Ovis aries: one gene and its partners. The protein of the gene in region 3 purifies or fractionates together with the protein of the main gene of each other region. This does not show direct contact. Links are inferred from orthologs where the notes say so. Each region holds a gene or a part of one and is shown on either strand. Other genes may lie near its edges.

Region 1 (4,077 bases), on a different chromosome or scaffold from region 3:
GACTAGGTAGCATTTTTCTAACTATGTACTTTCCACGAGTGGCATAATATACAGTATAAACAATGAACAGCAACTCAAATGGGAAAAAAACATAGGTTATTTCTGGTCTGTTAATTGCTATTTCCAGGACAGGACATTAGTCACTCCATGTATAAATGCTGGCTTCTAAAGAAAGGGTATACTGCTTTCCTGAGAACATTCAACAGAGCGAAGCCTCAGCTGATGAAAGGGAGGCTTATGCAGGAGCCACAGCTGCACACCTGGAGGTCCCACCCCACGCAGGGCGGGCTCCTGAGTCACCACTGAAAAGTGGGCTTTCAGAGAATTTCACAGAAAATTAGAAAGTCATTTTTGCCCTACAAACAGACCACGTTCAGGAGGCTTCCAAAATGCCTGGAATTCCTCTTTTGGCTCATTGGTCACAGGTAACCCAGTTTAGATGACACTTGGGATCAGGAGGGGGCTGTGTAGAGATGGTCCAATGAAACATTCCGTGCCCCTGAACTTTCCCTGGACAGATCCTCTCCCAGAACTGCTCTGTTCTGACACAGCTTTTCTGAACGTAGCACGCAATACATGCAGCACATTCTGCCTTTCACACCGGAGAGAAAGGCCCGCTGACCTGGCAGCCAACAGAACGTGTGTTTTCCGTTTCTCTAGTTGTGGCAAAGTAGCAGGCGGTTGTTTGGTAGTCATTCAAACTACAAAACGTTCAGTTTCACCCTTGAACGAGGTTTCTGACTACCACTTTCCTGTGATTTCCGGAAGCCAGTTCACTGGGTCTTCCCCACCTTGCCCACTGTTCCCTTTATATTCCGGCCTGGAAAGGGAGCTACATGATTTCACTGCCCTCCCATCTGCCCCATCCGCAACTTTAAAGGCCAAAGGGTAAGGAATGAAATCTGCAGAACTTTGCAAACGGTAAATATTCAATACAAAAGCATCAGTTCTTGTCCTTGAAAGGTCCTCTCAGTATGTGGATGGTCCCTAAAAATGGATTATGATCCATCCAGTCATCAGAGCCTCTACTCTGTCCACACAAAGTCCTTTTCAGGGCACTATGGGGCTTCTTTCTGTGAGCACTTCTTTCTCAACTGCTTTCATGGACCTATGAACCTAATGCAACAGAAGATGAGTTCTGATTAAAATAAACTATTAAAATAGTTCCTGATTTAAAAAATCATCTAGACGGTGCCAGTAGTTTGTCTAGTCAGAGTTAGAGCCTTCAGATTTACATAAAAGTTATGTCAGGATTTGGTGCCATTTAAAAACCCAAGGTTGGGTGTGTTATAAACGTGTCACCTTTGAAATATATTTCCCTATTCTGTCATTTAATTAGTAAATAAAACAGGGAGTTACTCTACTAGTTAACACACGTTCAAGGTCCACTGGAACAATTGCTACAGCTGACTAGTTTGTCTACACCCAAAGACAGTGTATGCTGGCCGATTACCACAATCTCAGGCGTGTGGTGCCATGTTTGCAAAGTGGCTCCTGGGGGTGGGGAGAAAAACAGACTGCTCTTGAACACTTGGGAACAAGGAAGACATTGCATACTGATTCCCTAAAGCAGTGCATTCCGTTATAGGGTATTTGTTTTAAAATATCAAAGTGAAAGTGAAAGTGAAGTCATATCCGACTCTTTGCGACGCCATGGACTGTAGCCTATCAGGCTACTCCATCCAAGGGATTTTCCAGGCAAGAGTGCTGGAGTGGGTTGCCATTTCCTTCTCCAGGGGATCTTCCCGAGCCAGGAATCGAACCCGGGTCTCCCACATTGCAGGCAGATGCTTTACTGTCTAAGCCACCAGGGAAGCATTCCATTATAGTGTATTTGTTTTAAAATACCAAAAGAGAAGTTTAAAAGTATTTCCATTGTTTAAATATTGACAGTCAATTACAAGTTTTAAAAAATGTTTTTTCCAAAAGACTGCCACTGATAATTACTTTGCTCCTTAATCTGAAAGCTGGGAGATGGCACAAAGTGCCTGGTTGCTAAGAAAGGGAACTGTTACTTAGGCAGAAGGCAACAGAACCACAGTGACGTTCCTGGCTTTGCAGGAGAGAGAGGCAGCAGGCTAACTCCAGAAAACTGGGCTTTCTGGGGAAACTGGCCATCCTTCAGGCCTTTGGCTCTATCTCGGGAGTCTTGTCCATGGCCAAAGGGCTTTCTCAAACTCAGGAAAACTCTCACTGTAATGATAATGATGCTCCAGAGGTTCTGAAGCTTTGACCCCTTTTCTGATGAGAACAGTTAATAATCTACATGTCATATCAAAAGTATCATAGCTGTTTCTTCGGGAAGACTCAAAACACAGCTCAGAAAAGGAGAAGGTATGGTTAAATCAGTATGGACTTTCTTAGTTATAACTCTTCCTCCTTCCAGCTCTGTATCTGATTGATCTTTTCCAAATACTTTAAATTCGATTTATAGCACTGTCAAGATGAAGATTTGTATCTTATAAATAACAACAAAAAAATCCTAATAACAAAGAAAATCTCTTTCCTCACAGTGTCCTCCAGCTTCATAAGATGTCCTGGAAACTGTACGATATAGTAGTATATTTAGATATTAAAAAATAAACTACTCAAACTGATGATTTTACTTGAGTAAGAATAATCTTTTGTCTTGAAAACAGCAGTTGAAGAAGGACAGAAAAGAGATGAGTTAGACTTATTTACTATTTAGACAAGACTAAAATAATTTCATCGAAAAGTATCTTTTAGACCAATGATGGATTCAGTGCCTAATAAAACTGTGCTTGCTAGAAGATAAAGAATATGAAGCTTTTACCTGAGTGTCTATGGGAAGCCATGGCTCAGACACCGAGTTCAGGAGCAGCACCTACGCCAGTCTTCCCTCGAGCCCAGCTGATAAGGCTGCGGCTCAGTTGTGAACATACATTTAAGGGGAAGTGGCTAACACAAAAATAACCAAGAGCAGATGGCCCACCCCTCCCCAGAGATCACAACCTTAATCCCACTAGAAAATTCTTAACCATTTTAGGTGATCCAAGGGAGAAGAATAGGACCCAGTAAAAATACCAAACACTACATATAAATACCTGTGGGGCTACTCAGCATCCAAATTAGCTCCAGAGCCAGAGAGGCCACATAGAAAGTGATCCCTGTACCGGAATAAAATTTAGACTCAGCCCTGGCATACCTTAACGCTGAGCCACCCTCATTAATCCACTTTATATGCCTAAAGAGCTTGCACTTGGTCTTCTGGAGAGTTTTTGTGCTGTTAATGATAAAAGTTACTATAAGAGATAAACTTATGTTACCAGTGTAATTAAAAGGGATTAGACATGAAGAATACACAGATCAAGGGCATTATCTCTGTCCTCCTTGGTCTGCACCAGAGATCAGCAGAATACTGAAGAGGGCAATTCTAGCCACGTATCTCCTTAGAGTCAGCGTGGGGCAGGAGGCAGCGGCATACACGCACATACACCTACTATGTACGCCAAGGAAGGGACACTGTCCTATAAACAACATCTCTTGCTTTTCACTGCCAGGGAGAGTCAAAGTAGAAATAGGGACAAAAACATGGCATCCTAACATGCTCTAATGGCTTCACGGGGCATCCGCTGGCTGGAGGCTGGTCACTGGGATGGAGCTCCAGGAGGAGCTGAGGTCCTGAGGATGGTCTGTGAGTCGGTCCCCCACCTCTGTCCTGACCCTTCTCTGGCTTCATGCCTGCCCCCCCTCAGCCTCACGCCCTCCAGACACACCCCACCTCAGGTCCCCACAGCCGCCCCCTCAGCACAGAGCCTCTCATGGCTGCTCCTCTGCTCCCTTCAAGGCTTTGCTCCAAGGCACTTTTGCAGTGTCATCTTCTTTGGCCACCCTGTTTAAAAGAGCAACCATGCTCCCCACCCCACTCTCCCTACTCTCTTCCCCAATCTGCTCCCCATGAAAGCTGTGTGTTAAAAAACTGAATTTAAAGACGAGAAGCATTAATCAAGACACATATGAAACGGAGACATAGGCCCACTTGGATTCCTAAAAAGTGGCCTTGGCCATTGAAGTTTAAGAAAGGAGACAACCTTCACTCTGGGTCATGCCATGTCT
Region 2 (3,055 bases), on a different chromosome or scaffold from region 3:
TCCTCAAGAAGCTCTTTAGTTCCTCTTCCCTTTCTGCCAGTGGTATCATCTGCATATCTGAGGTTATTGATATTACCCTTGGCAATCTTGATTCCAACTTGTGATTTATCCAGCCTGGCATTTCGCATGATGTACTCTGCATATAAGTTAAATTAGCAGGGTGACAATATACAGCCTTGTCATATTCTTTTCCCAATTTTGAACCAGTCAATTGTTCCACATCCAGTCTTAGCTATTGCTTCTTGACCTGCATTTTTAAAGGTAGGAAATGTACATCAGATATATGTTTATATCTGATTTCAAAACAACTGTAGCCCATATTCTGAATTCAGGAAGAACCAGCCAACCCACCAATTAGTGGCATTAGCTAGAAGCCTATGATGGGAGGAGGATCAGTTGCCCCACTGCCACGGTCGTGACTGCGACATTATTAATTTTGTTACTTAAATCAATTCAGGCCTAACACTGGTCTTTACCTTATGGGGAAAAAAGAAATTAACAAAACTCATGGCTTCGATGAGCTACTGGTATATTTAATACATGAAAATAAATATATGACTACTAAAATTTTTAAATGTCCACTCACATACCACCCAGATCCTCGTGTTCCCCGCTGGTCCACACATGGTGCCTGGGAAAATTCCTGAGGCCTCCAGACTCAGCTGGAAACTTATCCTGAGCAAGAGCTTGGCTTGAAGGGAGGAAGAGCCCTCCAGGTTGGCAATCACACTATTTATTCACACTTGGCGGTGAGACAATGTTGTGGGTGTGATGGAGGAGGTGGGGGCCCTCCTGGGGGACACCCCCTGGGTTGGCACTGATACGCCATGTGGCCGTGACAGGACTGGACACAGGTATGTCAGGGTTGACCCTCCAGTCCGTATCAGTGGGGAAAGCAGGGAGCAACCAGAGGTGGTCAGAGGGGGGGCACTGCCCACCATTGCTCTGTCTGTCCCCAGGAGGGCTCCACCAATGCCTTGTGGTCTCCCCAGGGGCCTGCCCAGCAGCGCCATTCTCTGAAACTCTGCCCCTCGCTGTGACCCCATGGGCACACCTGCAGAAAGGACCAAGAAACTCATTTCCAAGGGGGCTTTGTTTTCTGGGTAGCCCTACCTTGTCGGGGGGTAGTTGGCACTGAAACACTGACTGAACGAGCCCTGGGAGTCACCAGGGGGCTCCGGAAGGTCACCCCTGATGGGGCAGGCCTGGGATCTCGGGGCCCATTTGTGCAGGGACTACTGGCGGGTGGGTGACCTGTGCTAGGGACATCAAGGTGGGTGAGGGAGTGGGAACACTCCCGCCTCAGAGGGCGTGGAGTGTCTAACCCAGCCACGGACAGCCTCCGGGAGCCGGCCACTACCCTGTGCTCTGTCTTTGAGAGATCAGCTGGGTGAATGGCCCGCACTGGAGTCTCCCTGGGGCGGGGAGAATGGCTGCCCCTAGGGGTAGCTGGGGGTGTCCAGAAGAGGGCGTGGAGCTTTGCAGCATCACCTCTCGCCATCCACTTGGCCTCCCAGCCAGCGCCCTCCGGTCGGGAGCCAAAGAGAGACTCCTCGCAGTAAGAAGGAGTGTGGCTGATCAGTCTGGGAAGGGAAGAGAAACAATGAGCTGGGGAAATAAGCCTTGTAAACTTTCTTACCCCTCCGCCCCCCACCCCCAGCTAAGCCCCTACAGCAGCAGATGATTGCCTGTAGATCCCAGAAGTACCCACAGGGAAGCCACAGCCCTCAAGTACCACTATTCCCAGCTCTTACTATTTTTCCCTGGCAGAGCATCCAGTCCTCCTGCATCCTCCCCACCCCATCCTGGGCATGTGCCCAATTGGCCTAGTCCAGCTCAATTTGCATACCCCATCCTCCTGACCACACTGATTGGCTCAGGACTAACCACATGACCCATTCTGCCCAATGGGAGTCTCCCTTAGAATCTTTGCGTTAACTACTAGGAGAGAGATGTCTTTCTTCCACTGAGTGCTGAAGAACAGGCAGGAAGGATATAAGGGCAAAAGAGCTGGTGGCCATCTCACCTGGAATGTGTGTGAGAAAGAATCCCAACAACATTTTGAGCCCCTGTTATATGAGCCCCAAATGTCCTTTGTCTGCTGAGGCGCGTTTAGCTTGTTTGCAAGCCCAATCCTTATGTTATTTGCAACCAACATTAATATAACCTTAGTCTTCAGAGCGTTCACTTTTTCTTTTAACTCACCACTTCACCCTTTTCCTAGTGGCCCTGTCAGCCGAACCGTCTGCAGTCATGTGGCCCTTCTAACTGTTTCTGAAACTGCACAGCCAAGAACCCGGCATGTAGAGGGTGCTGTGACCTGGCCATACCACCAGAGTAGCTTTTAAAATTTTTGAATATTTACTCAGGGTTTTTCATGTATAGGCCCAGGACTCAGCTTGTCACCTGTGTTATCTCATTATTTCTCACAAAACCCACAGGACGGCAATATGATAATCCCATTTTATAGACAAGAAAACAGAGGCACAGGGAGGATAACAAGGAAGGTATAGATAAGATTCAAATCCAGGCCCCCACTCAAGGGCTCAAGTTCCTGATCACTAAGCCAGACTTAAATGCCTTCAAGGCCTCTCACTTTTAACTAGATTCATTCAGCATTTTTTTTTAAATTAATCTCACAAATGTTCATGGCATATCTATGAGGTGTGAGGTCCATGACTTTCAGCCAGAACTAAAAGTGCTCCCCATTCCCAAACTTCAAGTCTTTGAAAAGTCAACATTTTGGCCACTTGATTTGGCTGTTCAAACCCAGATCTGGTTGATACCTACGTCTGTCTGGTTCCAAAGTTTCTGCTTAATAGCATCTCTACCTCTTATGTACCTTCTAACTTGACAGCCTCTACCTGTCAGCATCCAGCACAAAGTTCCAACCTCCAGGAGAGCATGAGGTTGACTGTTGCCTTCCTGTCATGGACTTCTGTTAATGCAGCCTACAGTGAACTCAGCACTTTCAGCCACGTTGTAGATGTCAGTGCTGCTATGTCAACCTGAGCCTGCCCTGTGCTCCATGGGAACTGTCAAGTAGACATGACAA
Region 3 (4,291 bases):
AGCCAGTCATCTGTTGATGGGCACTTGGGCTATTTCCCTGTCTTGGCTATTATAAATAGCGTTGCTATGAACATTGGGGTACATGTGTCTTTTCAAATTAGAGTTTTTGTTTGCTCCTGATACATACCGAGGAGTGGAATTACTGGATCATATATCGGAGAAGGCAATGGCACCCCACTCCAGTGTTCTTGCCTGGAGAAATCCCATGGATGGAGGAGCCTGGTAGGCTGCAGTCCATGGGGTTGCTAAAAGTCAGACACAACTGAGTGACTTCTCTTTCACTTTTCACTTTCATGCATTGGAGAAGGAAATGGCAACCCACTCCAGTGTTCTTGCCTGGAGAATCCCAGGGACGGGGGAGCCGGGTGGGCTGCCGTCTCTGGGGTCGCACAGAGTCGGAAATGACTGATGCGACTTAGCAGCAACAGCAGCATAGTAGTTATAATTTTAGTTTTGTTTTCCTTAGTGGCTGCTAAGATAAATATTTTTTAAAAACAGTAACTTCTCTGCATATTAGAAATAGAGTTATACATAGAAATTACAAAATAAATTCTTAAAAAATACTGTCATGAATAAATTTAACAAGGGAAGTCTAGAATGTATATGAACAAAGTTATAAAATTTAATTGAAGGAAATAAAACATGTCGAATAAATGGCGAGACATACCAAAATCTTGGATTAGAAAAAAATTATGAAAATACAAATCCTTCCCAAGTTAATATAAAAATGTTATTGAATCCAGTCAAAATCCCACTAAGGACGCAGTAATGGAAAGGATAAGAAAAAATAAAAATTTAAAAATTGTCAAGAGAATCTTGAACAAGAACAATAAGGGACATTTTGCTGTACCACATATTTTAAAAAGATACTGTGAAGCGACTGCAATAAAAATATTACAGTATGTTTATAGATAATAAATAGTTCTTTACAGCCTTACAGACCTTTCTTTTTATGAACAAGGTGAGTATGGATGAGTCAAATCTGACAGTAGGCTGTGAGGTCCCTCAGCAAAATAAGATCCCATTGAGCTCTGTCCCCTGAGCAGTTCCATTTTTCCCCTCTCCACCTAGTCAATGAGTCTGACAAAATACTTAAAGCAAACACCAAACTGGTACCTGCTTTTGAGAGAATTGTACAGGAGATCTTGTTACAGCTCTCAGAGAGTTTGAAGTCTGGTGAGGGAGCCTGGCAGGTAAAGTACTGAAGCGCAGCACATCTGCCTGTAGGGTGCTTGCCTCCTCCACTTCTGTATGTGTACCTGAGCCCAAGTCTAGCAGGTTATATGTTTATGGTCCCTTGGCCAGTGCCAGCAGCATTTTCCCAAAGAGCCAAGCCAGTGAAAGTCACAGAGAAGTTAATGTCCTGCTAGCAGACAATCAGAATGTGAATTATATTTCACTAGAACAATAGGTTTTCAAACTGACACTCTTAAATATTGTAGTATACCAAAATAAATTTTATTTTTATATGCTAGAAATCAACAATCTGAAAATGAAATTAAGAGAATTCTATTGACAGCACCTATTTTTTTTTTTTGAAAAGAAGAAAGGACTTAGGAATAAGTTGAACAAAAGAAGTATAAGACTTGTGCACTGGAAACTGCAGAGCATGAAATAAGTAAAGGAAAAACCAAATTAATAGAAAAACAGCTTGTTTTCATGGATTGGAAATTTAAGATGATTAAGATGGCAAGGACTTCCCTGGCGGTGCAGTGGCTCAGGTTGCACACTCCCAATGCAAGGGCCCTGAGTTTGGTTCCTGGTCAGGGAACTAGATCCCACATGCCACAACTAAAGATCCAGCAGAGCCAAATAAATAAACATATTTAAAAAAAATATATATATATGTATATGGCAGTACTCCTCAAGCCAATCTACAGATTCAATGCAATCTCTATGAAAATGACAACTGATTTTTCTGCAGGAATTGTCCGTCTGGTCGTAAAATTCATGTTAAAATAGAAAGGGCCCAAAATAGTCAAAATAATCTTTTAAAAAACAACACATTTGGAAGACTCAGACCCATTTCAAAACTCATTACAAGGCTGCAGTAATCCCAGGACTATGTAGTATATGTGTACAGATAGAGACAGAGATCAGATAGGGAGCAGAGTCCAGAAGTAGAAGTAAACCTAGACATCTATAGTCAATTGGAATGATTTGGTCACATTAAATACAGGATCCCCAGTTAAATTTAAAGAACAAATAATTTTCTAGTAGATCTTGAACAATGTTTGGAACATGCTTATACTGAAAAAATTGTTCATAGTTTATCTGAAATTCAAATTTAACTAGACATCCTGTGTTTTTATGTGCTAAATTTGGTAACCCTGAATAGGGAGGCAGGACAGACAACTTTTGCCCACATTGTCATATGCCAAAGGCTCCGGGAAGGGGCTGGTGGGAGTTCTAGGTATTTACTTAAATTTCTGCTAAAGGAATTCTATTTTCTTTACAATAATAACCTTTAAAAGAAAAATATTGCAAAGTGGTAAAATGCATTGTACATCTCATTAAAAAAAAAAAAAAAACCTTTGGCTTTGTGTAGAACCATAATTAAAATTATTAAAATAGAGAATGAAACAGAATGTAACTGGATTTACCATAATCATTGCAATAATTAGGGAATGTTCCCCATTTCCCCATAAACAACATTTCACTCTGTCAGGCTCTTTCCCCCCATCCCACCCTCCCCCCCAACATACTGTGAGTGGTCTGAAAATGTACGCTGGGATCTTGAGTTGGCATTTCCTTTTAGTCCCTTCCGAGGTCACTCTGTGCAAAGTTTACAGTTCTTTCCTTGATTACACTGTGCCTAAAGTGTTAAACCCCGTTAGCAATCACTGCACAGATTTCCTCAATGAGACCCTTGTGCGCCTGACAATGTGACTATTTGTTTGAAAGTCACTACCACTGACATTTGTGCTGCTCAGCGCTGTGTTACCAGTGCTTTCTTTATGTCACTGTTTCTCTTCAGTAACTAAGAAAAGCAAAACAAAGTACAAATAACTGCTTATTCAGAAAGAAATCTCAGATTGTTCCTTAAACCTGCTCCAGGCAGCACATACAGACTTTGGAGTGATCTGGAAAATATGAAAAACCCTTGGCTGGGAGACAAAACCCAAACTGATCTGCGGTGATGGCAAAAGCAGAAATACGAGCTCAATAATAAAAATGAATTTCTGTACAACTGCTCGTGGCTTCAGGAAGGAGGAGGAGTTCTCAGAAGTTCAACTATGATCTGATGTTTGAAAGGAGGCTGCATGGGAGGGAGGGAGGGAGACCCGGCTTTGTTTCAGGGCTGGTCCCTCAATTGTTGGTTGATTGATTGAAAAAGGCAAATGGGGCTGCCGTCTCCCTGCCAAGGGTTTTATTCTGCCTCAGCCCTCCCTGAGTGCCTGGAGTGTGGACTCTCTGTGGCCCTCACCTGCTGCTTTGTTCCAACAAAGCCAGCATCTTGCAGCCGCTGCCACTCACTCCTCTGAGCCGTTGTCCCGGCTGTCCTGAGTGTGTAAACCCTGCCACCCCCATCTGCCCAGCCACCTGCCTCCTTTAAATATCTTCCTGCAACCCCATGGCTTCTGGAAGCTCTCTGGAATTGTTGCCACCCACTTGTCTTTAACTGCCAACAGAATCCTCTCCCAGAGCCACTCTGAAAATGATTGTCTCATGTCTGTTGTGTGTATATCCCAACAGGCTGAAGCACATGTACTCGGAGGCAGGCAGACTAGGGCTCATTAATGGATTTTGTCTCTCGCCGGCTCTGTGACCTCCAGCGACAATAGTCATGATGATGCCTAGACAGCTAGTGAGCTGTTTTGCCAAGCAAGTGCTCAGCATGCCACGTGCTCCCTTTTATTTTCTCCCCATGTGAAAGTTACCAGTGGCGCTAGTGATAAAGAAGCCGCATGCCAATGCAGGAGATGTAAGAAATGCAGGTTTGATCCCTGGGTGGGGAAGATCCCCTGGAGCAGGGCATGGCAATCCACTCCAGTATTCTTGCCTGGAGAATCTCATGGACAGAGGAGCCTGGTAGGCTACTTTCCATAGGGTTGCAAAGAGTCAGACTTGACTGAAGAGACTTAGCATGCATTCATTCTCCTTGTTTTACAGACCAGAAAGCGGACTGAGAAGTAAAAGAAACTTGATCAAGGTCAAATAAATCCCTCCTGGTGGAGCTGGGTTTGGAATTCAAAGGGTCAAGCTCTTACTGGGGGACTCAGATATCAGGAGAGGTACCTTTATTATTTCATCTTCTCAACAGCCCTATGAAGTTTGTATTAGCCACATT
Region 4 (3,516 bases), on a different chromosome or scaffold from region 3:
GATCTGGTGGGGGCAGGAAGCGTTCTGAGGTCTCAGCTGTCATGTCTCAGATGCGTGAGAGAGCCTGACCAGCATTGTGCAGGCTGTTGCTCTAGAAATACTGAGAGAGTTCAGCTGATAGATGCAGAAAAGTCCAGGCCATACTTGCTTTCCTAGCTCTTGGACTATCTTCAAAACCTGTGCTTTCCTCGGTTAGTGACTCTTGCTATAACATGTCCTGGTGGTGGTGCCCACAGCCGTGCTTCCAGAGGAGGCTGCGTGGGTTTTACGTTATGCTGACAGGGGACTGAAGTCTGTGGGCAGCTCAGAAGCTGAGCCTTGGCCAGCTTTCCTGCCTTTATCCCATTTACTGTTGCTGTGTGTTGTCAGTGGGAAAGAAGTGGGTTATTTCAGCATTTCTCTCTTTTTCAACTCAGTCTTTAGTTAGGTGTTAATGGAAAGCAGAAGAGGAGAAACAAGGCGTACTCAGCTATGGCCAACTCCTGAACAGCCCCTCGCCTGCGTGCACAAAACAGTGTCTTTGTTAGTGCTGTCACCACGCATCCAGTGCTTGAGACAGTCCCACACGGCAGGGTCCCCGAGGACAGGCCCCTGCCTCCCCAGCGCAGCCTGCGCCGCAGAGCAGGCGCTCGGTGCACGCCTTCTGATCGCCTCCCTTCCGCACCCTGCGGTACCACACCGTGTGGGCCCTCATCCGAGTGATCCTGTCAGTCCCCGGCCAGCGAGGCCTGAGCCAGCCACAGTCCAGTTACCCTGCGGCTCTACAGCCCTGTCCCCGTGTGGGGGCTGCAGCCCCTCTGGATCTGGCCAGGACCATCTCTCCGTTTACCCCAGACGCTCTCCCCACATCCTGGCCACAGAGTTTGCCCCTTCCTCTGTGCCTTTTCTTCCTTTAATGTACCTGTCTTAATCTCCTTATCGCTCCAGACCGGCCTCCATTCCATGCTGTGGGGAGCCTTTGGCCCCCAGGGCTCTCTTCTCTAAGGTTCCAGTGATCGTGCGTGTCTGGTGGGGTGTCAGAACACTGCCCTTGCCTTGCGCGCCCGCGGGGTGGCCGTTGCTGCGTGGGTCTTAGCTGTGTCTCCTAGTGGAGGTGAAGCAGCGCTGGCCTGGCTGACAGCACTCTCTCTCTCTTCTAGGGCCCTCTTCTGCCATGCCTGGCGTGAACAGCTTGGGTCCATCTAGCTCCAGCTGTCCCCGAGTGTTCCCTCAGGCTGGGAATCTGATGCCAATGGGCCCTGGACACACTTCGGTTTCTTCTCTCCCCTCAAACTCAGGCCAGCAGGACCGGGGTGTGGCTCAGTTCACTGGCTCCCAAAGCATGCCCCAGAGCAGCCTCTACGGCATGACTTCCGGCATAACCCAGATGGTTGCCCAGCCTCCACCACAGGCCACCAACGGACATGCCCACATTCCGCGGCAGACCAGCGTGGGCCAGAACACCTCGGTTTCAGCTGCCTATGGACAGAACTCGCTGGGGAACTCTGGTCTCTCCCAGCAGCACAGTAAGGGGACCCTGAACTCGGGTTTAACTAAGCCACAGGTCCCAAGGGTATCAGCAGCCATGGGAGGCCAGAATTCCACCTGGCAACATCAGGGAATGCCAAACCTGAGCGGCCAGCCCCCAGGAAACAGCACCGTAAGCCCGTTCACTGCAGCCTCCAGTTTCCACCTGCAGCAGGCCCACCTGAAAATGTCCAGCCCGCAGTTCTCTCAGGCGATGCCCAGCAGACCCATGGCCCCCATGAGCTCAGCAGCTGTGGCAGGGTCCATGCTGCCCACTGTGAACGCACAGCAGAGGACCAGTGCCCCTGCCCCAGCACCTCCCCAGGGAGCCCCACAGCAGGGCTTGTCGGGCCTGAGCCCGGCAGGGCCAGAGCTGGGGGCCTTCAGCCAGAGCCCTGCCCCAGCCATGGGCGGCCGGCCAGGCCTGCACTGTGCCCAGGCCTACCCCGTGCGGACCGCAGGCCAGGAGCTGCCCTTCGCCTACAGCGGGCAGCCGGGCAGTGGCGGGTTGGCCAGCATGGCTGGGGACGCCGACCTGATCGACTCCCTGCTGAAGAACAGGACTTCGGAGGAGTGGATGAGTGATCTGGACGACCTCCTTGGGCCTCAGTAGCAGGAGGATTTGTGGTGTTTTCAGTGTTCACACAGCCTGTATTTTTGTTCTCAGATTCAAGAAAGAGTAACTACTTTGGACCAAAAGCCCACAGCCCAGGGAGCCGGGCAGGCGGAGCTGAGGCCTGGTCCTCCCGGGGCCGGGGGCCCACGGCTCCCAGCCAGCAGTTGGTATGTCGGGCTGGCCCGCCCCCATCTGCTGGTGTCACTGTATGGGGTTGGCACAGCACGACAGGGTTCTACAGGTGGTTTTTTAATCCAGAAGACCAAAAAGCCAACAGTAAAACCCCACGACGCCAGGTTTATAAAAATCTGTGCTATCATTTTGATCTAATCCAAGATTTCTCCACTTGGCCCAATGTTGGGACAGATTTTTGTTGAAACTTTATAGTGGAACTATTTGCAATTTGTAGCATAGAAAAGATTTTTTAAAGGTTTTAAGGTTTTAAAACAGATTAGGGTAGGTGGTTAAAATCTATAAGTGGCATTGGAAACTTAGGGTTTCCTTTTGATTAAGAGCCTTTTTTATTCCTGCTGTTTGTCAGCTTTCAGGACAAAGAGAGGCTCACTGGAAAATTGCATGTGCCAAAAAGGAACAGGATGCCGTGAGAAGCAGAGCTAGTGGCAGAGATGCGGTCGTTACTGCAGCCCCGCGTTCTCCCAGAATGCTGTTCTTCCACGTTGGCATTTAGGAGGACCTGGGCTGAGGAGTCCCTTCCTCCCGTGTTTTCAGAGCAGGACCCCAGGCTAAAGGCTGTAATACAAACTGGGGCTCCTGTGTCTCTCTTGTTGTGACTCCCCACCATTTGCAGTTTCTCTGGAGACTCGTATTTACTGTATCAGGAAGGTGATCATTGTTGAGTTCTGCACAGGTGTCTTTTCTTTCACCCTGTCTTCATTTCCCATAACCGTTCTTTCTGCCTTCCGTTCTTTATTTCTCCAGCCCAAGTGGAAAACCTCCTTATGGCACTAATTTACTAGATTGGAGAGGAAAAGAGTCGTTAGAACTCCCCAGGAAACCCTAGCATTGTAAGGAGGCGGGTATCCCCTCCCCAGAAAGCAGAGGTTCAGGGGAAGGAGGAAAGAGGACCCAGGCCAGAGGAGGGGCCCCACTCCGTTCTGCTACTGCTGCCACTGCCTCTTCAGACGACTTGCACTTTTTAGAGAGAATTGCTTTGTAACACTAACACATCCTTTCTAAAAATTCAAGTGGATTTCTCTTTTAAGGTCTATGACTGTTTAGGTCTTGACTAAGCTAAGAGTCCACGTAGTAGTATTACCTGTGGGCCGTTGTGGAAAGTGAAGACGGAGAGAGCACTTCAGTATAGCAGAAGCAGTAAGCACAGGGGGAAACTCTTTCAGATGGAGTACTGGAGGGAAAGCAGTACACTGAAGAGA
Region 5 (3,516 bases), on a different chromosome or scaffold from region 3:
GAGACTTTGGAAGGACTCTCCTCCCTTTTAAACATGAGTTCAAAGTTTAAATTCTCTCCAGTGAAGGTTATACTCCATAAGCATAATCTTAGCCAGAAGAGGACCTAACCTGAAACTTTTCCAACAGAGACCAGAGTTTGTGAAAAGAAAAGGAAGCTGAGTGGATCATCTGACAGGGCCTACTCTGAGAAGGCCTAATAAGTGGTAATATTCTAATACTACTGAAATAGTAGTTCTCTGTTTATTTTTATGACTTAGTTTGCTTTTCTGTGATCACAAAAAAAAATCATGCACATGATGCTTAAAATCTTTTAAGAATCCATTTTTTAAAATAAGAAAAAAATGTCCTGAATTATATTCATAACTTCTTTCTTAAACAGTCAGATAAAAAAGAAACTGGGAAATTATCTTTTCTAATAATTTCTAATCTTCTCTACACAATAATGGTCTGTGCAGAAGCAAATGTGTAATAAGAAATGTCTGGCTTATTCAAATCCACTCCCAAATTAGAAATGTCGGCACAGATCAGAAATGTATAATATTTGTAAACATTCTTTTTGATTCTAGTAGCAGGAGTCAGGAAAGAGGACCTAAACTTTCCCAGATAGAGCTCTCTCCCCTGTCCAGATACACATTTGACTCTCAAAGCATCAATCGTATTTATGCAGAAAATCTCTGCACTTGCCCACCACTGCATTTCTGAGCCTTTGTTCGATCCCTTGCCTCAAGAAACACAGAGACAGGCCTCCTGCTGAGAAGCCCCAATGACAAATAGTTTTCAGCTGGAATCCTTCCCTTTTGTAGAGGAATAAGGCAAAGCCAGCTGGAAACTCGCCATTGCCAAAATCTGCCCTCGAAAGACGGGGACATCAAATGGAAGTGTCCAGGCCAGGCCATCACTGTGGTGAAGGAAGCAGCTGTTGTAGAAGGAAACAGGGGGAGCAGTAAGAAAGAGGCTGGAAGAAGCCCCTTCTAAACACAGAGCAGCCCATTAGTAGACTGGCCTGGCAGGGCAGCGAGAAGAGGACAGTCTCCTATTTAGTGCAGATGGACCTAGCAGGAGAATAAGAAGTGAAAAAGTCTTACCTGTGGCACACTGGCACTCATAACCATTCGGGTGATCTATACACTTTGCCCCATTCAGACACGGAGTACTAGAACAGTCGTCAATATCGATCTGGCAAACTGGCCCCGTGAATCCTTAAAAGGGCACATGATGACACACATCAAAGGATTATCCTATGTTTTCCTCACTATCAGAGTGATGCCCAGAAGAGCTGGGCCATTATTGGCAGGCTTATACCCCTGGATCAGCACGTGGAGAATTTTTCTCCTGAACAGGTACCTGGGATAACGGGTGAGGCTCAGGGCATCAGAGGCACCGGGGTGTCTCTCTCACCTCTTTTTCTTCCCAGTATAGATTTCACTTCAACTTAAAGTAGGAACTGAATGCATACAGACAGAACCCCCTAAGAAGTGAATGTAGCTGCACAGGAACTGGGACCTTCTCTCTGAAGAAACAAGAGAGGCTATAGCCTAAGGCAGAAAATTCAGCATGGCTTCCACAATGGCTGAGGGGGGGCAAAAGGAGAGACACAGCATTCTTTGGAAAGAACTGACTTGTGCTATTAATGTACCCATGGGTGAAATGTCTAAAAATAATCATCTCAGAGAAAGGTTTCAAGAATATAACTCACAGGAAAAAATAAAATCCTGAGTAACCTAGAACTAAGGGCTTCCGTGAGGTATGAACTTTCTGAAATGTACACACAGACGGCGAGGTCATGGGCCATTCAGAATAGACTTGGACCTCTGGCCACAAAGGATTTGGAAGATATTCTAGCTGAAGCAAATCCCCCACTTCTATACACACACACTCCTATCCCAAAGCGCTCACTTTAATGACTTCCTCATGTAGAGCCCACACACATTCTCTCCCTCCTCTCTTCCCTGCGGTCAGTCGGCTTTGTGCTTTCAAAGAAAACAGGGGCAGGTGGTGGGCACTTACCAGGCGGACACAGACACTGGAAGCGATTGACTTTATCCACACACTGTCCATTGTTCACACAAGGGTTGCTCTGACATTCATTGATCTCCAACTCACAATGCACACCTTTGAAACCTGAACAAAATGGACCACACAAGCGGCTTAGAAAAAGACAAAGGCAAATTCTAGCCAAGAAAGCACAAATTCATAAAGCTGACTACATCCTCTATGCGTATGAACATTTCTGCAGAGGGAAAAGAGGACTATGCCATGATTGAAAACAGTCACTGTGAGCATCAGTCAGACACGGGCATATTCTGGGATATCCATGTCACTGTGGAGACGGAGAAGAGGTTACCTCCAAAGACCTTAGTAAGACCTAGCATGCCAACAAAGACTGAACTACATTCTCGGATCAGTCCAGGCATTGCTTTCAGGACAGTGCCAGGCCCACAGGGTCCCCAGTCCTAAGGACCAGCTGAATGAATCAGAGATGCTGTTGTACTCAGGGTGTAAGTCAAAGTCAGGAGGGCCTGCCAAGGCTAGAGTGGTTAGCACCCGTTATCAGGCCAAGCAGCCCCTGACAGCTGTCATTTTAAGCTAAAGTTCAGCTGTGCTCTCTAAGGATTTAAGCAGAAGTCTCTGCAGAAGAGTTCCAAGATATAACACAGCATGTGTATCTCACCATGAGATAAACAGCAAGTTCCTATACAATTATGGGTAATATTATTTTCTATAAATGGAATGGTATGCTATTTGTAATATATCAGGGGATAAGGAAAGCTTGCTATTTAAAGAATTTTTATGATAAATACTTTATTAAATCAAAGTATACTTGCATTTTAAAAATCTTCTGAATTTTTCTCTCACAAGTATCTGGGTTTTGACATGATGGGACTGTTTTCCATAGATCTAAGAATTTTAACATGGGCCTTAGTCCTTAAGGGTCCCCTTGCATATGTGCATGCTAAGTCACTTCAGTCGTGTTCGACTCTTTGCGACCCAATGGATTATAACCCAACAGGCTCTTCTGTCCATGGGATTCTCCAGGCAAGAATACTGGCGTGGGTTGCCATGCCCGCCTCCAACCCAGGGATCAAACCAATGTCTCCAGCGGCTCCTGTACTGCAGGCAGATTCTTTACCACTGAGCCACCAGGGAAACCCTAAGGGTCCTGTGGCTAGGGATTAAATGCCAACAGAGCTTACGGAAATGCCACACTGTACTGAGTGCTCTGCCTAAGACAAGCACAGTGCAAGGTCTCTGGTCTAGACCCCACACACCGACGGCCCATGTACCTGGCATGCACAGACACGTGAAGCCTCCAATCTTATCCAGACAGGTGGCATCATTCTTGCAGGGGTCTGAGTGGCACTCATTGATGTCCATCTCACAACGAGGTCCTGCATAGCCCTTCAGACACTCACAGTGGAAGGCACCATCTGTGTTCACACATTTTCCTGCATGCTCACAAGGATTGCTGTTGGCTGGAAGACACAAGCACCCATAACCAGGATCAAAGCACTCGA

Evidence for each region.
Region 1: the proteins of RBPJ (region 3) and FHL1 purify together in Homo sapiens (affinity purification with western blotting; 4 studies listed by BioGRID and IntAct, with this or other methods). This does not show direct contact. The link is inferred for Ovis aries from reciprocal best matches to the Homo sapiens genes RBPJ and FHL1.
Region 2: the proteins of RBPJ (region 3) and RITA1 purify together in Homo sapiens (affinity purification with mass spectrometry; 4 studies listed by BioGRID and IntAct, with this or other methods). This does not show direct contact. The link is inferred for Ovis aries from reciprocal best matches to the Homo sapiens genes RBPJ and RITA1.
Region 4: the proteins of RBPJ (region 3) and MAML1 purify together in Homo sapiens (co-immunoprecipitation; 12 studies listed by BioGRID and IntAct, counting the BioPlex papers as one, with this or other methods). This does not show direct contact. The link is inferred for Ovis aries from reciprocal best matches to the Homo sapiens genes RBPJ and MAML1.
Region 5: the proteins of RBPJ (region 3) and NOTCH2 purify together in Homo sapiens (affinity purification with mass spectrometry; 3 studies listed by BioGRID and IntAct, counting the BioPlex papers as one, with this or other methods). This does not show direct contact. The link is inferred for Ovis aries from reciprocal best matches to the Homo sapiens genes RBPJ and NOTCH2.

What each region holds. Positions count from the first base shown.
Region 1 is NC_056080.1:99,026,199-99,030,275, forward strand, and holds the start of FHL1 (four and a half LIM domains protein 1), read right to left. Parts: upstream 2,817-4,077; coding exon 2,795-2,816; exon of another isoform or gene 1-2,794.
Region 2 is NC_056070.1:61,273,295-61,276,349, reverse strand, and holds the end of RITA1 (RBPJ-interacting and tubulin-associated protein 1), read right to left. Parts: intron 1,584-3,055; coding exon 1,076-1,583; 3' UTR 1,055-1,075; coding exon of another isoform or gene 738-1,054; 3' UTR 513-737; downstream 1-512. UniProt on the Homo sapiens protein: Tubulin-binding protein that acts as a negative regulator of Notch signaling pathway.
Region 3 is NC_056059.1:46,288,035-46,292,325, reverse strand, and holds the start of RBPJ (recombining binding protein suppressor of hairless), read right to left. Parts: upstream 2,814-4,291; 5' UTR 2,706-2,813; intron 1-2,705. UniProt on the Homo sapiens protein: Transcriptional regulator that plays a central role in Notch signaling, a signaling pathway involved in cell-cell communication that regulates a broad spectrum of cell-fate determinations.
Region 4 is NC_056058.1:1,319,108-1,322,623, reverse strand, and holds part of MAML1 (mastermind-like protein 1), read left to right. Parts: intron 1-1,139; coding exon 1,140-2,119; 3' UTR 2,120-3,516. UniProt on the Homo sapiens protein: Acts as a transcriptional coactivator for NOTCH proteins. Has been shown to amplify NOTCH-induced transcription of HES1. Enhances phosphorylation and proteolytic turnover of the NOTCH intracellular domain in the nucleus through interaction with CDK8.
Region 5 is NC_056054.1:97,348,140-97,351,655, forward strand, and holds part of NOTCH2 (neurogenic locus notch homolog protein 2), read right to left. Parts: intron 3,475-3,516; coding exon 3,286-3,474; intron 2,123-3,285; coding exon 2,009-2,122; intron 1,201-2,008; coding exon 1,087-1,200; intron 1-1,086. UniProt on the Homo sapiens protein: Functions as a receptor for membrane-bound ligands Jagged-1 (JAG1), Jagged-2 (JAG2) and Delta-1 (DLL1) to regulate cell-fate determination.